3 linked regions of the Mus musculus genome follow. The protein of the gene in region 1 purifies or fractionates together with the protein of each later gene. This does not show direct contact. Links are inferred from orthologs where the notes say so. Each region holds a gene or a part of one and is shown in the gene's direction. Other genes may lie near its edges. The genes, in order: Nkap, Dhx8 and Rnps1.

The links.
Region 2: the proteins of Nkap (region 1) and Dhx8 purify together in Homo sapiens (co-immunoprecipitation; 3 studies listed by BioGRID and IntAct, with this or other methods). This does not show direct contact. The link is inferred for Mus musculus from reciprocal best matches to the Homo sapiens genes NKAP and DHX8.
Region 3: the proteins of Nkap (region 1) and Rnps1 purify together in Homo sapiens (co-immunoprecipitation; 3 studies listed by BioGRID and IntAct, counting the BioPlex papers as one, with this or other methods). This does not show direct contact. The link is inferred for Mus musculus from reciprocal best matches to the Homo sapiens genes NKAP and RNPS1.

The regions. Positions count from the first base shown.
Region 1 is NC_000086.7:37,125,476-37,129,675, forward strand, and holds the start of Nkap (NF-kappa-B-activating protein), read left to right. Parts: upstream 1-1,287; 5' UTR 1,288-1,520; coding exon 1,521-1,900; intron 1,901-4,200. UniProt on the Homo sapiens protein: Acts as a transcriptional repressor. Plays a role as a transcriptional corepressor of the Notch-mediated signaling required for T-cell development. Also involved in the TNF and IL-1 induced NF-kappa-B activation.
Region 2 is NC_000077.6:101,731,524-101,735,835, forward strand, and holds the start of Dhx8 (ATP-dependent RNA helicase DHX8), read left to right. Parts: upstream 1-1,432; 5' UTR 1,433-1,517; coding exon 1,518-1,665; intron 1,666-2,632; coding exon 2,633-2,718; intron 2,719-3,854; coding exon 3,855-3,927; intron 3,928-4,285; coding exon 4,286-4,312.
Region 3 is NC_000083.6:24,417,571-24,421,214, forward strand, and holds part of Rnps1 (RNA-binding protein with serine-rich domain 1), read left to right. Parts: intron 1-467; 5' UTR 468-577; coding exon 578-648; intron 649-886; coding exon 887-1,042; intron 1,043-2,635; coding exon 2,636-2,827; intron 2,828-3,644. UniProt on the Homo sapiens protein: Part of pre- and post-splicing multiprotein mRNP complexes. Auxiliary component of the splicing-dependent multiprotein exon junction complex (EJC) deposited at splice junction on mRNAs.

The DNA.
Region 1 (4,200 bases):
GTCTTCCCTCAGCTGATTATCCAATACCAAATGGTCGGTCCTGAAATCATAAACATACGGTTAATATATGCTCTGAGCAGGTTATTGTAACAGGGCTCTAGACCTTAGTAGGTCCCCAGACCTTAGCACAACTGACTCCATGATGGAAGTACCATTCAGGCTGCAACATTCAGCATGTAGACAGTATCACCTGCCAAAACAAAAGACAAAAGATCAAAGTACATAGTTCTGGGAATATTCCTAAAGGTACTGACCTTCCCTGTTGGCTTCTGTAGTTTCACTTTTGGACATGTTCTTGTTAACTGAAGTATATCAACACAGGACGTGTGTGTGTGTGTGTGTGTGTGTGTGTGTGTGTGTGTGTGTGCGCGCGCAACTTTTTTTTTCGAGACAGGGTTTCTCTGTGTAGCCCTGGTTGTCCTGGAACTCACTCTGTGGACCAGGCTGGCCTTGAACTCAGAAATCCTCCTGCCTCTGCCTCCCAAGTGCTGGGATTAAAGGCATGGGCCACCACCGCCCCGGCGTGTGTGACTTTCTATTGGCTAAAACCCATATCTAAGTAGTCTTCTCTGGTGAAAACATTACAACAGCTATAGTTACAGGTACATGTAATGACAAATAAAGAAAAAGAGGCAATGAGTTTAAAAGAGCAAGAGGAGGCACGCAGGAATGGTTGGAGGTAGAAAGGGGAAAATGACACAATTACATTTCAATTTCAAAAAAATTAAAAACAAAATTAATATTTGAATGCTCTTTTGCCTAAAAATACTTAATACATACAACTATTAATCGTCTACCTTATATTTTGCTGGGCTAGTGTATGATGGACTAGTTGAAGGGGCTTGATAACTTCGTTTTGTGGGACATTTGTAGAGATGGGTGGCTTGAACCTACGTACTAAGATTTTCCTCTGGGTCGCTAAATTAATCGGAGTATAACAGACTGAAGTTATCAGAATGTATGCTTTCTAAGTGAACTGGACAACAATGATCTTAGATTAAAGCTTAACCCTAATCATGATCTTTTGTTTGCTTGGGATTAAAAAAAAAAGAGTGGGAGTGGGGGTTATAATACATACACAGATTCATACGCGCACACTATACAGGCAAAGATCGTCCCACACTAAATAAAGGGAGAATTGGCGGTGTTGCTTATATGGCTACTCAATGAAATACTTGTCTCATTCATCGCAATGTTCTTTCAGGCATCCAGTGCGGTTTAGGTTTCAGAAACCTCACTAGGAACTGGATGAGAGCGTAGCCTCAGTTTCCTGGCCGGCTTCTATATAGAGGTACACAAATCCCTTCCTGTTGGCGGCAAGGACTCTGGGTCCGGGGGAAGGGGTTTACCGCTGTACACGGAACTGTTTCCAAGTTGGTTTTTTTGTTTGTTTGTTTGTTTGCTTGCTTTTTTTCGGATTTGGTCGGCTGCAAGCTCTAGGACCCTAGGTGTCCGGGACCTTTGGGGGTCGCGAGAGCGCCTCCTTGTCCCGCCCCTTGGTAGCTTCAGCTTCCCCCACCATGGCTCCTGTATCGGGCTCGCGTAGCCCTGAACGGGAGGCCTCCGGGGCGAAGCGTCGCAGTCCATCGCGGAGCCCCAAATCCATCAAATCTTCCCGCTCCCCGCGGTGTCGCCGGTCTCGCTCGCGCTCTTGTTCTCGGTTCGGCGACCGGAATGGCCTCAGTCATTCGCTGAGTGGCTTCAGCCAAAGCTCCCGAAACCAATCTTACCGCTCCCGCTCTCGATCGCGCTCTCGCGAACGGCCCTCGGCACAGCGGAGCGCCCCGTTTGCTTCTGCATCCTCGTCCGCCTATTACGGCGGCTACTCGCGTCCCTACGGGGGCGACAAGCCATGGCCTAGCCTGCTGGACAAGGAAAGGGAGGAGAGTCTCCGGCAGAAGTGAGTGAAATCGCCGCACCCTCTCTTGGGTCATTCTGCCTGCCTTTGAGTCCAGCTTGTTCATTGTTTCTGTTTTATTTCGCTTCCCATCCGCCTCGCACCTTTTTCATCTCTTTCTTCAGTTCACCCCGTGACCTTTTTTATTTATCCTTTCTAACTTACATTTTCATTCATCCCTAGACTCCTTCATAAGAGGCCCTGGTTTCCCACTACCTACTTACCCCTACTGGGAAAGTAAGAGGCTATTGTATGCCTTGGTGTCATTATCCGTGCACCTGTCTTTATTCCTCACTAAACGGAAATAGAGGTTTGTGACTTTTATTGATCACAGAATTAGTAGTGCCTGCCTCTTGGTAGGCATGGCAGCTGTTTCTTGTTGCATGAACAAACAGAAAAAATTGAGACAAGAGGATATTTCAGTGGAAACGTTTTGCAGTGAACTGGGAAGTATTGTAATTAAGTATATGTATTGGTTTTGAGGGAAAAGAATAATTAGATGAGGCTATGTTGGGAAAAGTCTTGGCAAGTGGTCTCAGCCGTGTTGACCATGCAAACCAATGTGGGAATGAGATTGGATTTCCTCTAATGGAATTCTTAGTTTAAAAAGACTCACAAATCTTTAGTAGCAACAACTGTGAGACTCTTGAGGCAAGTCAGAACACTCATTCTCATCGACGTAGCAAATTTACGGCCGCCTTGGTCTACATGAGGCCATGCCTCAAGACATATTTAAATTCAAAAGCTGGGCATGCATGATGTCTCACTCCTGTAATCCTAGCGTTCAGGAAGCCGAGGTAGGACTGTCACAAGTAATTCGAGGCCAGCCTGTACTACAGAGTTAATTCAAGGTAGGCCTGAGGTAGAGTGATATCCTGAGAGAGGCTCATGTTGCTGCATTAGTCATAGTATCTGATATGTATGAAGTTTATTATGCTTGTTAAAAATTAGGTCTTAGGCCCTGTACCATGTGTTTCAAAATGGTAAAATTTCAAGTATTACAGGCATCGAGGGGCAAGTTAACTTTCCAACAGTTGAGAGATGCTTCATGTTTTTTTTTCCTCCCCCAGCAGGGGAAGAAATACAGTATAAGAAAAAAAAAGGGCAAGTTTCCGCATTGCCCTGCCTGAGTGTGAAGGTTTTGTTTGTGGTGAAGCAGGATGGTCTTGGGCAAGTGAGACCTTTCCTAGCTTCGCTTCTTCATCATTAAAAATCCGCAGAAGCTGGAGCTGAGCTCAGGGGAAGAATGCTTGCCTAGCAAACCCGAGGCCCCGAGTTGGAGCAGCGGCCCACAAGGGACAGGGAAATCAGTAACAAGGCTTTTAAGGGTGTAATAACATCCATAAGTGAAACAGTCCTGATCTGTTAGAGACCTCTGGGATGGTACCCATGGAGTGTGTCAGTTGAAAAGCAAATGCTGAGCCAGGATCATGTCTCTAATCCCAACACTTGAGAGAGGGTCAGAACCACTAGGAGTTGAAGACTAGCTAGACCCTGTCCTATGAGATCCAGTTTCAGAGGAGTAAAGGATTTACTGGAATGTTAAGTGATTGGATGAGATTTGCATTTGTACTTTTAGGTGATATGAAGTTTATTCTGTCTATTAAAATTATGTCTTAGGCATGGTACTAGGCCTTAGACTTTGTGTTTTAAAATAAGAAATTTTAACATATTACAGGAGCAATAGACATGAGACTTCTGTGCTCTTTATGGCTGGGCAGGCATTCTTCCCCCAGAAGCCACAAACAGTTGTACCCCTTTTCTAAATTATCCATTTTGGCCAAATACAAAATTCTCCAAGTCTCTCTCTGTGTAGTTATCAATACCCTTTTTCATGATCAAAAATGTTAAAAAAAAGAAAAGCCAATTATAGGTCTTTCGTAGTAACTTTTTTTTTAAAGATTTATTTATTTTATGTATATGAGTACACTGTAGTTGTCTTCAGACACACCAGACAAGAGCGTCAGATCACATTGCAGATGGTTGTGAGCCACCATGTGGTTGCTGGGTTTTGAACTCAGGACCTTCGGAAGAGCAGTCAGTGCTCTTAACCACTGAGCCATCTCTCCAGCCCAGTAGTAACTTTTAAAAGTGAGTCATAAGCCATCAAACTTTAAGGAATTCAGGCTAATTATTTTCTTCAAAGAATTATTTTTATTTTATTTATTTTTGGGTGGAGGGGATTGAGACAAGGTCACTATGTATAGCTTTGGCTGTCCTGGAACTCATGTTGATGAAGCTGGCTGCAAACACAGAGAGATCTGCCTGCCTTTGCCTCCCAAGTATTGGGACTGAAGGCATCC
Region 2 (4,312 bases), on another chromosome or scaffold:
CTTTAAAAAACAGCTCCCAATCTCTTTGTCCTTTCTTCTTGTTAAGTGTTAAAAGTGCAGCTGGATAGAAATATGAAGTTTTAGTAGCAAGGAGATGTAGAGAAAGAAGGGTCAAGTGGAATTAACTCCTGAAACCTAACTCCATACTGGCAGATAAGCAAGCAGCATCAAGGGCAGACTTTCTCATTCTGTTCACGGAGAAAGGAAGGAAGGAAGGAAGGAAGGAAGGAAGGAAGGAAGGAAGGAAGGAAGGAGTGAGTCCTGGAGAAATGGCTCATGGTTCTGAGCACTGGTCACTCTTCCAGAGGATCTGGGTTCAATTTCCAGCACTCACACCGAAGCTCACAACTATCTGTTACTCCAGTTCCAGGGGATCTGACATCCTTACACAGACATGAATGCAGGCAAAACCATGTATAGGAAATAAAAACAAGTAAGTTATAAGGAAGGGAAGGGCATCAGGAACTCAGATGGCAATGTACTAAATCCTTGGGAACCTGGAAACACGGAACTACTGTGATAGTCCTTTGCCTGCAATTTTGAGAGAGGTTCTCACTGTGTAACTTTGGCTGACTTCAGTCTCAGAGAACAGCTTGTTTCTGCCCTCCGAGTGCTTCAATTAAAGGAGAGCACCAGCCTGCCCAGCTTCCCTGCAACTCGTTATCACTGAAGTGTTCCCAATAATTCAAAGACACAGTAGTGCAACAGAGTCAGCCAACAGTAGCAGAGGGGGCTCATTTTCTGTCTTTTGACTGATGGGAGGGCTACTCACCTTAGAGGAAGTATTTTCTTGTTTTTTACACAGAATACTAAGACATGGGAAACCCTTCATCTTCATTGCAAGGTTCTGCCAAAGGGAAAAGTAAAAGTTGGGACACCTGAATTTATGACCTCAGGTTCACAACACAGCTGACATTTAGAGAAGCAGATTTTAAGAGGACTGAGGGTTTTGGCAACAGGAATGCTTGAGATAAGCTTTGCTGGACCACTCGCAGTTTGGGGGGGTTATAACAGCAACTAATATTTTCAGTGTGCCTACTGTGGCTCAGCCACTTTGCATATCTATTTCATTTAGACCGTATTATCCGAGTTTACAGATAAGCAGCCAGAATCTAGCGTCTGCTGGTGTAAGGTCACTTGAGATCACTTGCCATGAGGTCAGGAACTGAGCTGATCAAGGACAAGCCAACTTGCTTTTCCGAGGCGCTGTTCAGTCGCGCAGGCCACGGTCGCCCTCTGCTGACGGATCACAGAGGCGCGCTGAGATTGATCCTTAAAAAAACCTAAAGGCGGGTGGAGTCTTCCCCCCCGCTAGAGGCCGCCACTGAACGAACAGCGTAACTCAGTGCGTCTGGCCCGTCTGTGGGAACTTCCTGCCAGATCTCGCTGATCCTTACAAAGACGGTTAACTTTACTTGACGTCCCTGTAAACAAAAGAGACGAGCGCCGACCCGGAAGTGGAAGCTGTGGCTTCGCGTTCTGGCCGGCCGGAAGGAGACCAAAGGGAAGTTGTAGCCATGGCTGTAGCCGTGGCCGCCGCCGGGGTCCTAATGGGCTCGGAGCCCGGCCCGGCGGAAGAACTCGCTAAACTTGAGTACCTGTCTTTGGTGTCGAAGGTTTGCACGGAGCTGGACAATCACTTGGGCATCAACGACAAGGATCTGGGTGAGCTGGAGGAAGGTCCCGATGGCTTTTGATTTTGGGGGTGAGGGAGGCAGGAGAGAAGCGGTTGATGGTGTGTGTGTGTGTGTCTGTCTGTCTGTGTCTGTGTGTGTGTCATCGTGACTTGGGCTCCGGGAACCTGTGGCGGTGGCCTCTGCTTGAGAACCATCCGGTCCGAGCTATTAGAAACCATTTCTGTGAGCTGCCGGTGAAGGCTGGGGCAGCAATTTCTGCTCGATTGTTGTTTTTCAGTTCTGGGGGGCGAAATAGCTTTAACAATAGCAGCAGCAGCAGCCCCCGCGAAGATGATGGTTGTAATTACGGCCAGTAATTTTTAGAAGCTCACAAGATATTATGGGTAGCTCTTCATCTACATTATCTTGTTTGGTCTTCGCACAGTCAGGCAGTAGTCAGCATCTACTTCGAGCTTGTGCTTTGAGCCGTGCTCTTAAATTAGTTACATCTTCTTATCTCTCACATACTAGTCATTAGATGTTTAAGGGCAAACTGTGACTAGGGGACCCAGAGAGAAAATAAGAAAGGCTCGGGGCCCAGATCGTAATTATATGCATAGCCGGAGCCCTTGTGAAAATGAGAGGCCGAGTATGTGAATTAGAAGCATGAGGGGAACACTTCCGTTTGATAGGTACAGGGTTGGGTGGTGTTGGGCTTTTTCAGAATGTCCTCAAAAGTAAATGACAGCCAGGCAGGCGCCTAGGATCTCAGGCTTGGGATGTGAGGGCAGAATGATTAGTAATTCCAAAGTCACACGTAGATAATCTGAGGGTAGCTTGGGCATGGTATGTATCAGGGTATGACCCGTCACAAAAAACGACGACAAAGCCGGGCAGTGGTGGCGCACGCCTTTAATCCCAGCACTTGAGAGGCAGAGGCAGGCGGATTCCTGAGTTCTTTTATAATTTAATTATTATCTGAGTCCATTTATAATTCCTTTTTTTTTTTTTAACAGCTGAATTTGTCATCAGTCTTGCTGAGAAAAATACTACCTTTGATACTTTTAAGGCTTCTCTGGTCAAAAATGGTGCAGAATTCACAGTATGTATATCTGAAGATTCTTTGTTTCCTTTTTGTTTCTTTGGTGTTGCTACTGAATTTAAATTTTGATCGCACTAAAGGATTTTTAAGTAGGAAGGAGCGATTTGTGCATATCAAGTAAATAAGCCATCAAATGTGTAAAGTTGCGTTGCTGGCCAGGGAGCCAGATTCCTTCCCCACTGTCCTAGGAGAATGCCGCAGGACTTCCGGCAGTAAGTCTGAGGATGCTGACATTCTTTTGTTGTTGTTGTTGGTTTGTTTGTTTTTAATTTTTTATTAGATATTTTCTTCACTTACATTTTTTAAAGATTTATTTATCTTATTTATGTGAGTACACTGTAGCTGTCTTCAGACACTCACCATAAGAGGGCATCAGATCCCATTACAGATGGTTATGAGCCACCATGTGTTGTTGCTGGGAATTGAACTCGGGACCTCTGGAAGGGCATTTGGTGCTCTTAACCCCTGAGCCATCTCTCCAGCCCCTGATGTTGACATTCTTGTTCTGTGAATCAGGACGTCAGGGACAAGCCGGGCAGTTGTGGCCCACACCTTTAATCCCAGCACTTGGGAGGCAGAGGCAGGCAGATTTCTAAGTTTGAGGCCAGCTTGGTCTACAGAGTGAGTTCCAGGACAGCCAGGGCTACACAAGAGAAATCATGTCTCAAAAAACCAACAAACAAATGAAAAATGACGTCAGGAGCAATAATAGTCTAGGGTTTGGAGACAATTTTAAAAGATGGGAAGAAATGGTCTCTGGGTATCGTCCAAGCCAGTGGTCTGCAGCCTTCTAATGCTGCAACCTTTTAATACAGTTCCTCATGTTGTGGTGCCTCCCAACTATACATTTATGTTTTGTTACTTCCTCATAACTAATTTTGCTACTGTTATGACTCATAATGTAAATATCTGTGTTTTTTGATGGTCTTAGGTGACTCCTAAAAGGGTTGTGACCCACAGGCTGAGAACCTCTGGTCTAACTTAGCTTCCTGCTGTCCCAGGCTGACATTCTGTGCTTTCTTGTCTAGTCAGCACACATTGAGGGCATAAGCACACTTCCCTACAGCATATCCTATTGTAATATTGAGCCAGATCCAGAGGCTGACGTGCTATGTCTGTGCTTCTTTTCTTTGTAGGATTCTCTTATTAGCAACCTCCTGCGTCTCATACAGACCATGCGGCCTCCTGCAAAGCCTTCTACCAGTAAAGGTAAGGAGGGCTCCAGCTGAGCAGAGCCTCCAGAAGGGGCTGGGTGGTGGCATCCCTGTGAACTGCACTTTGCTCTCAGCTGTTGCTAAGCAAGAGAATGCTCTAATCGAATTCTGAGACATTCAAATGAGGGCTGATAGTCTCCCTCCCCTCCTTCACCAGCACACTGCTTGGTGAGGCTTTCGAAGTTAATGGATTTAGACAATCAAGCTAAATTTTCTAGTACGTATGTGATATATGTAGTAAAATGTTGTTTGTTTTTTGCATTTGATACAAATCTAATGTTGAAGTTATTGCATTCACTAGTAATATTAAATATATCTGTCTCTTTCTTATCCCTGCTCCTTAATGAACTCAGATCCGGTTGTTAAACCCAAAACCGAAA
Region 3 (3,644 bases), on another chromosome or scaffold:
ACTCGTTACTCATTGTATCCTTAAAGAAAACAATGCCAATAAGACAAATCTGGGTTTTTCTCCTCTGAGGCCATTGTGGTGTCTAATATTTTGAAAGCCATCTACAGGTGGCTGGTTCATCATCAAACTTGGTGAACTCTAGTGTGGGACAGGCCCTAAAAAACCAAATGTAGCTACAATTACCTCTCCCACTTCATTAAGGAAAACAAAGAAGAATCTTAATATGCCTGTACCTTAGACATGTAATACATTTTGCCTTTCTTTCTCAAATAAAAAACCTAAGGTGGCCTCTAAGAGTAGGAAAGGCCTCCATGGCGCGCTAATGAGGGCCCTGGGTGTCAAGGCTGTGTGGACACTTGCTGTTTGCTGTGCTTCTGTCCTGTGTGCTCAACGGTCTTTGATGCAAAATAGAGTTGATGCTTTGTCAATTGGTTTGCTCTATTTCAATCCTTTTATCTTGTTACTAGGCTGCTCTTTGGCGTAAATTGCAATCGATTAGGGATCGTTTCTCAGACTCAAGTTAGAAGTGAGAGTTCAGATAAGTGAGGCCGACATTGCTGCCTTGAAGAAGGGGAGAATGGATTTATCAGGAGTGAAAAAGAAGAGCTTGCTAGGAGTCAAAGAGAATAATAAAAAGTCCAGCACTAGGTAATCCTCTGTAAGATTTTTTTCTAGTGCTATTTTGGGGGTGCTTGCTGTTTAAGGACCCTAGGAAAGGGGAGATTTTTGTTGTTGTTGTTCTACAGTGCGTGCCCTAATTCACAGATGATTTTGCTCTGTGATCACCTGGGATGTTAGTAATCCTTTTGGACCGCACTACTGGGTTGTGCTATCTCAGGGTTTGGTCAGAAGGGCTTGCAACCTCACATTCTATCTTATCATGCAGGGCTCCTTCTCCTACCAAACGCAAGGACCGATCTGATGAGAAGTCCAAGGATCGATCTAAAGATAAAGGGGCCACTAAAGAGTCAAGTGAGAAGGATCGTGGCAGAGATAAGACTCGGAAGAGACGCAGTGCTTCAAGCGGAAGCAGCAGTACCAGGTGGGGCAGAGGGAACCATGTCTTCCTTCACTGTGAAGCCCTCCAAGAACTTCTTTGGGGGAAAGGGGTGACACGTGTGTGTTGTGAAGGCCAAAAGTATGTTAAATTTCTTCCTTTGGGGAGGTGTGAAGGCCATCTGCTCTTCCATGTTCCCACAAACAAACAAACCTAGGTCCAGTTCAGCAAAGTTCACTCTAGGAAATCAGTGAGTTTACCAGGCTTCCAGTGCAGTGGGTGAAGGATAATTGGCAGGAATGTGGGTGGTAACTGCCCTGTGAATGTTCCCTCCCCACAGTCCCCTACTTAAAGCCTTTGCCTGAGACCTGAGGACCTGTGCAAATAGGGCAGAATTACAACTGGTTTGGAGGGGTGGCTGGATACTCCAGTGAGGGTCCCTTGACCCTGTCCCTTCCAAGAGAGACAAGCCCAGTGTGATGATCGTTAGTGAGCAAGCCCAGTTGAAGTGAGAATGACAGCAACTTTTCTGCGAGGGTAGTCCTGTATGTGTGGCTCCCTAAGAGCTGTCTGCCTAGCTTTTCCATACAGGATTTCATTGCTTCCTGCAGCTTGCCAATTGAATTGAGCTGGTTGCCCAAGGGAAGACTACGTTGTCTTAACTACATTGAAAACAGACCCTAGAGTTGTTGATAAGACCCTAATATAGCATGCAGGTTTTGTTTCATTATATATGTTATGTGGTCTTGCTGTGTAATGTGTGTTTGTGGATATAAACTCTCCTATGATACTAAAGTGTGATGTTTGGATAATGGATGAATTGTTTCTCTTGCAAGTATGTATTCATCCTGAAATGAGAATGACTGGCTTCAGGCTGGAGCCTTTTTTTTTTTTTTTAAACTGTGTTTATACATGCATACCATGTGTGTGCCTGGTTGTCACACAGGCCAGAAAGGTGCATTGGGTCCCCAGAAACTAGAGTCACAGGCAGTTGTGAGCTGCCATGTGGGTGCTAGAAACCAAACCTGGTTCCTCTTACCTGCAGAGACATTTTTCAGCTCCCAGTCTGCTCCTTTTTTTATTTAAGATGTATTTATTTTTATGTTATTTATGTATTTATTTTAATGTGCACGGTCACTGTCTTCAGACACACCAGAAGAGGTCATCAGATCCCATTGTGGATGTTTGTGGGCCACCATGTAGTTGCTGGGAATTGAACTTAGGACCTTGGAAGAACTGTTAGTGCTCTTAAACTCTGAGCCATCTCTGCAGCCCCTCTTTCTTTTTATTTTTAAGTTGAAAACCTGCCTGAATTGGTCTTCAGCCCTGTTGATCTGATTTTTGCTAGGCTGCTGCTTTTTCCTCATTGGTAAAAATAAGGATTCTGTGTAGGTAACAACAGCCCATCTCATACGGTGTTGGGACTTGTCAGATGTCATTACTGGTGAAATGGGGCTTAAGCAGGAAAGCACCGGGCAGTGGTGGCGTATGCCTTTAGTCTTAGTGCTTAGGAGGCAGAGGCGGGCAGATTTCTGAGTAAGAACCAGGAGAGCGATATCCTCTACTGAGCAGTCAGTCTTCTGTGCAGAAATAGGACTCTTGCTCATTGACTCTGTGACACCCCCACCTTGTCCTCAGGTCTAGGTCCAGCTCCACCTCCAGCTCGGGCTCCAGCACCAGCACAGGCTCAAGCAGTGGCTCCAGCTCGTCCTCTGCATCCAGCCGCTCAGGAAGCTCCAGCACGTCCCGGAGCTCCAGTTCTAGCAGCTCCTCCGGCTCCCCAAGCCCTTCTCGGCGCAGGCATGACAACAGGCGGCGCTCCCGCTCCAAGTGAGTTCAGAATGGCTAGCCTGCTCATTACAGTAGTTACTAGAAAAGTAGTTTGGGCTGACAAGATGGCTCAGCAGGTAAAGGTCTTTGCTGCCAAGCTTAACAGCCTGGGTTTAATTCCCGGGACCCACATGGTGGCATGTGATAACTCCCGTGGTTTGTCCTTTAACCTCCAATGTGCACAGTGACACACAAGTGAGGGGAAGTGCAGTGGTACATGCACATGTATTTGTACCAGGATAGTCGGAAATTTGAGGTCATGGTGGGCTGCGTGTGAGCCTGTCTCAAAAAGACACGAGAGCCAGGCGTGGTGGCGCACGCCTTTAATCCCAGCACTCGGGAGGCAGAGGCAGGCAGATTTCTGAGTTCAAGGCCAACCTGATCTACAGAGTGAGTTCCAGGACAGCCAGGGCTATACAGAGAAACCCTGTCCCGAAAAACAAAACAAACAAACAAAAAGACATGAAAGAAAGTGAATAAAAGTTAGAGGGTGGGCAGGATGTCTGAGTCAGTGAGGGTGCTCGCTGCCCAGCCCATCAACCAGACTGCCCTTCCCCGGAATACACAAGGCAGGAGCTGAGAAGGGCATCTCCCACAAGTTAGTCTCTAACTCTATGTGTGTTGCCCTGGTGCATGCCCCACAGAAGTAAAATAGACACAGATTTGAAGGGGTCTTAGTTTGGTTTCTGAATCAGGGATGATAGTCTTAGTGATCTGTTTCTGTGAAAAGACACCATGACCAAGGCAATTCTTATAAAGGATTGGGGCAGGCTTACAGTTTCAGAGGTCCATTATCCTCATGATAGAGAGCATGGTG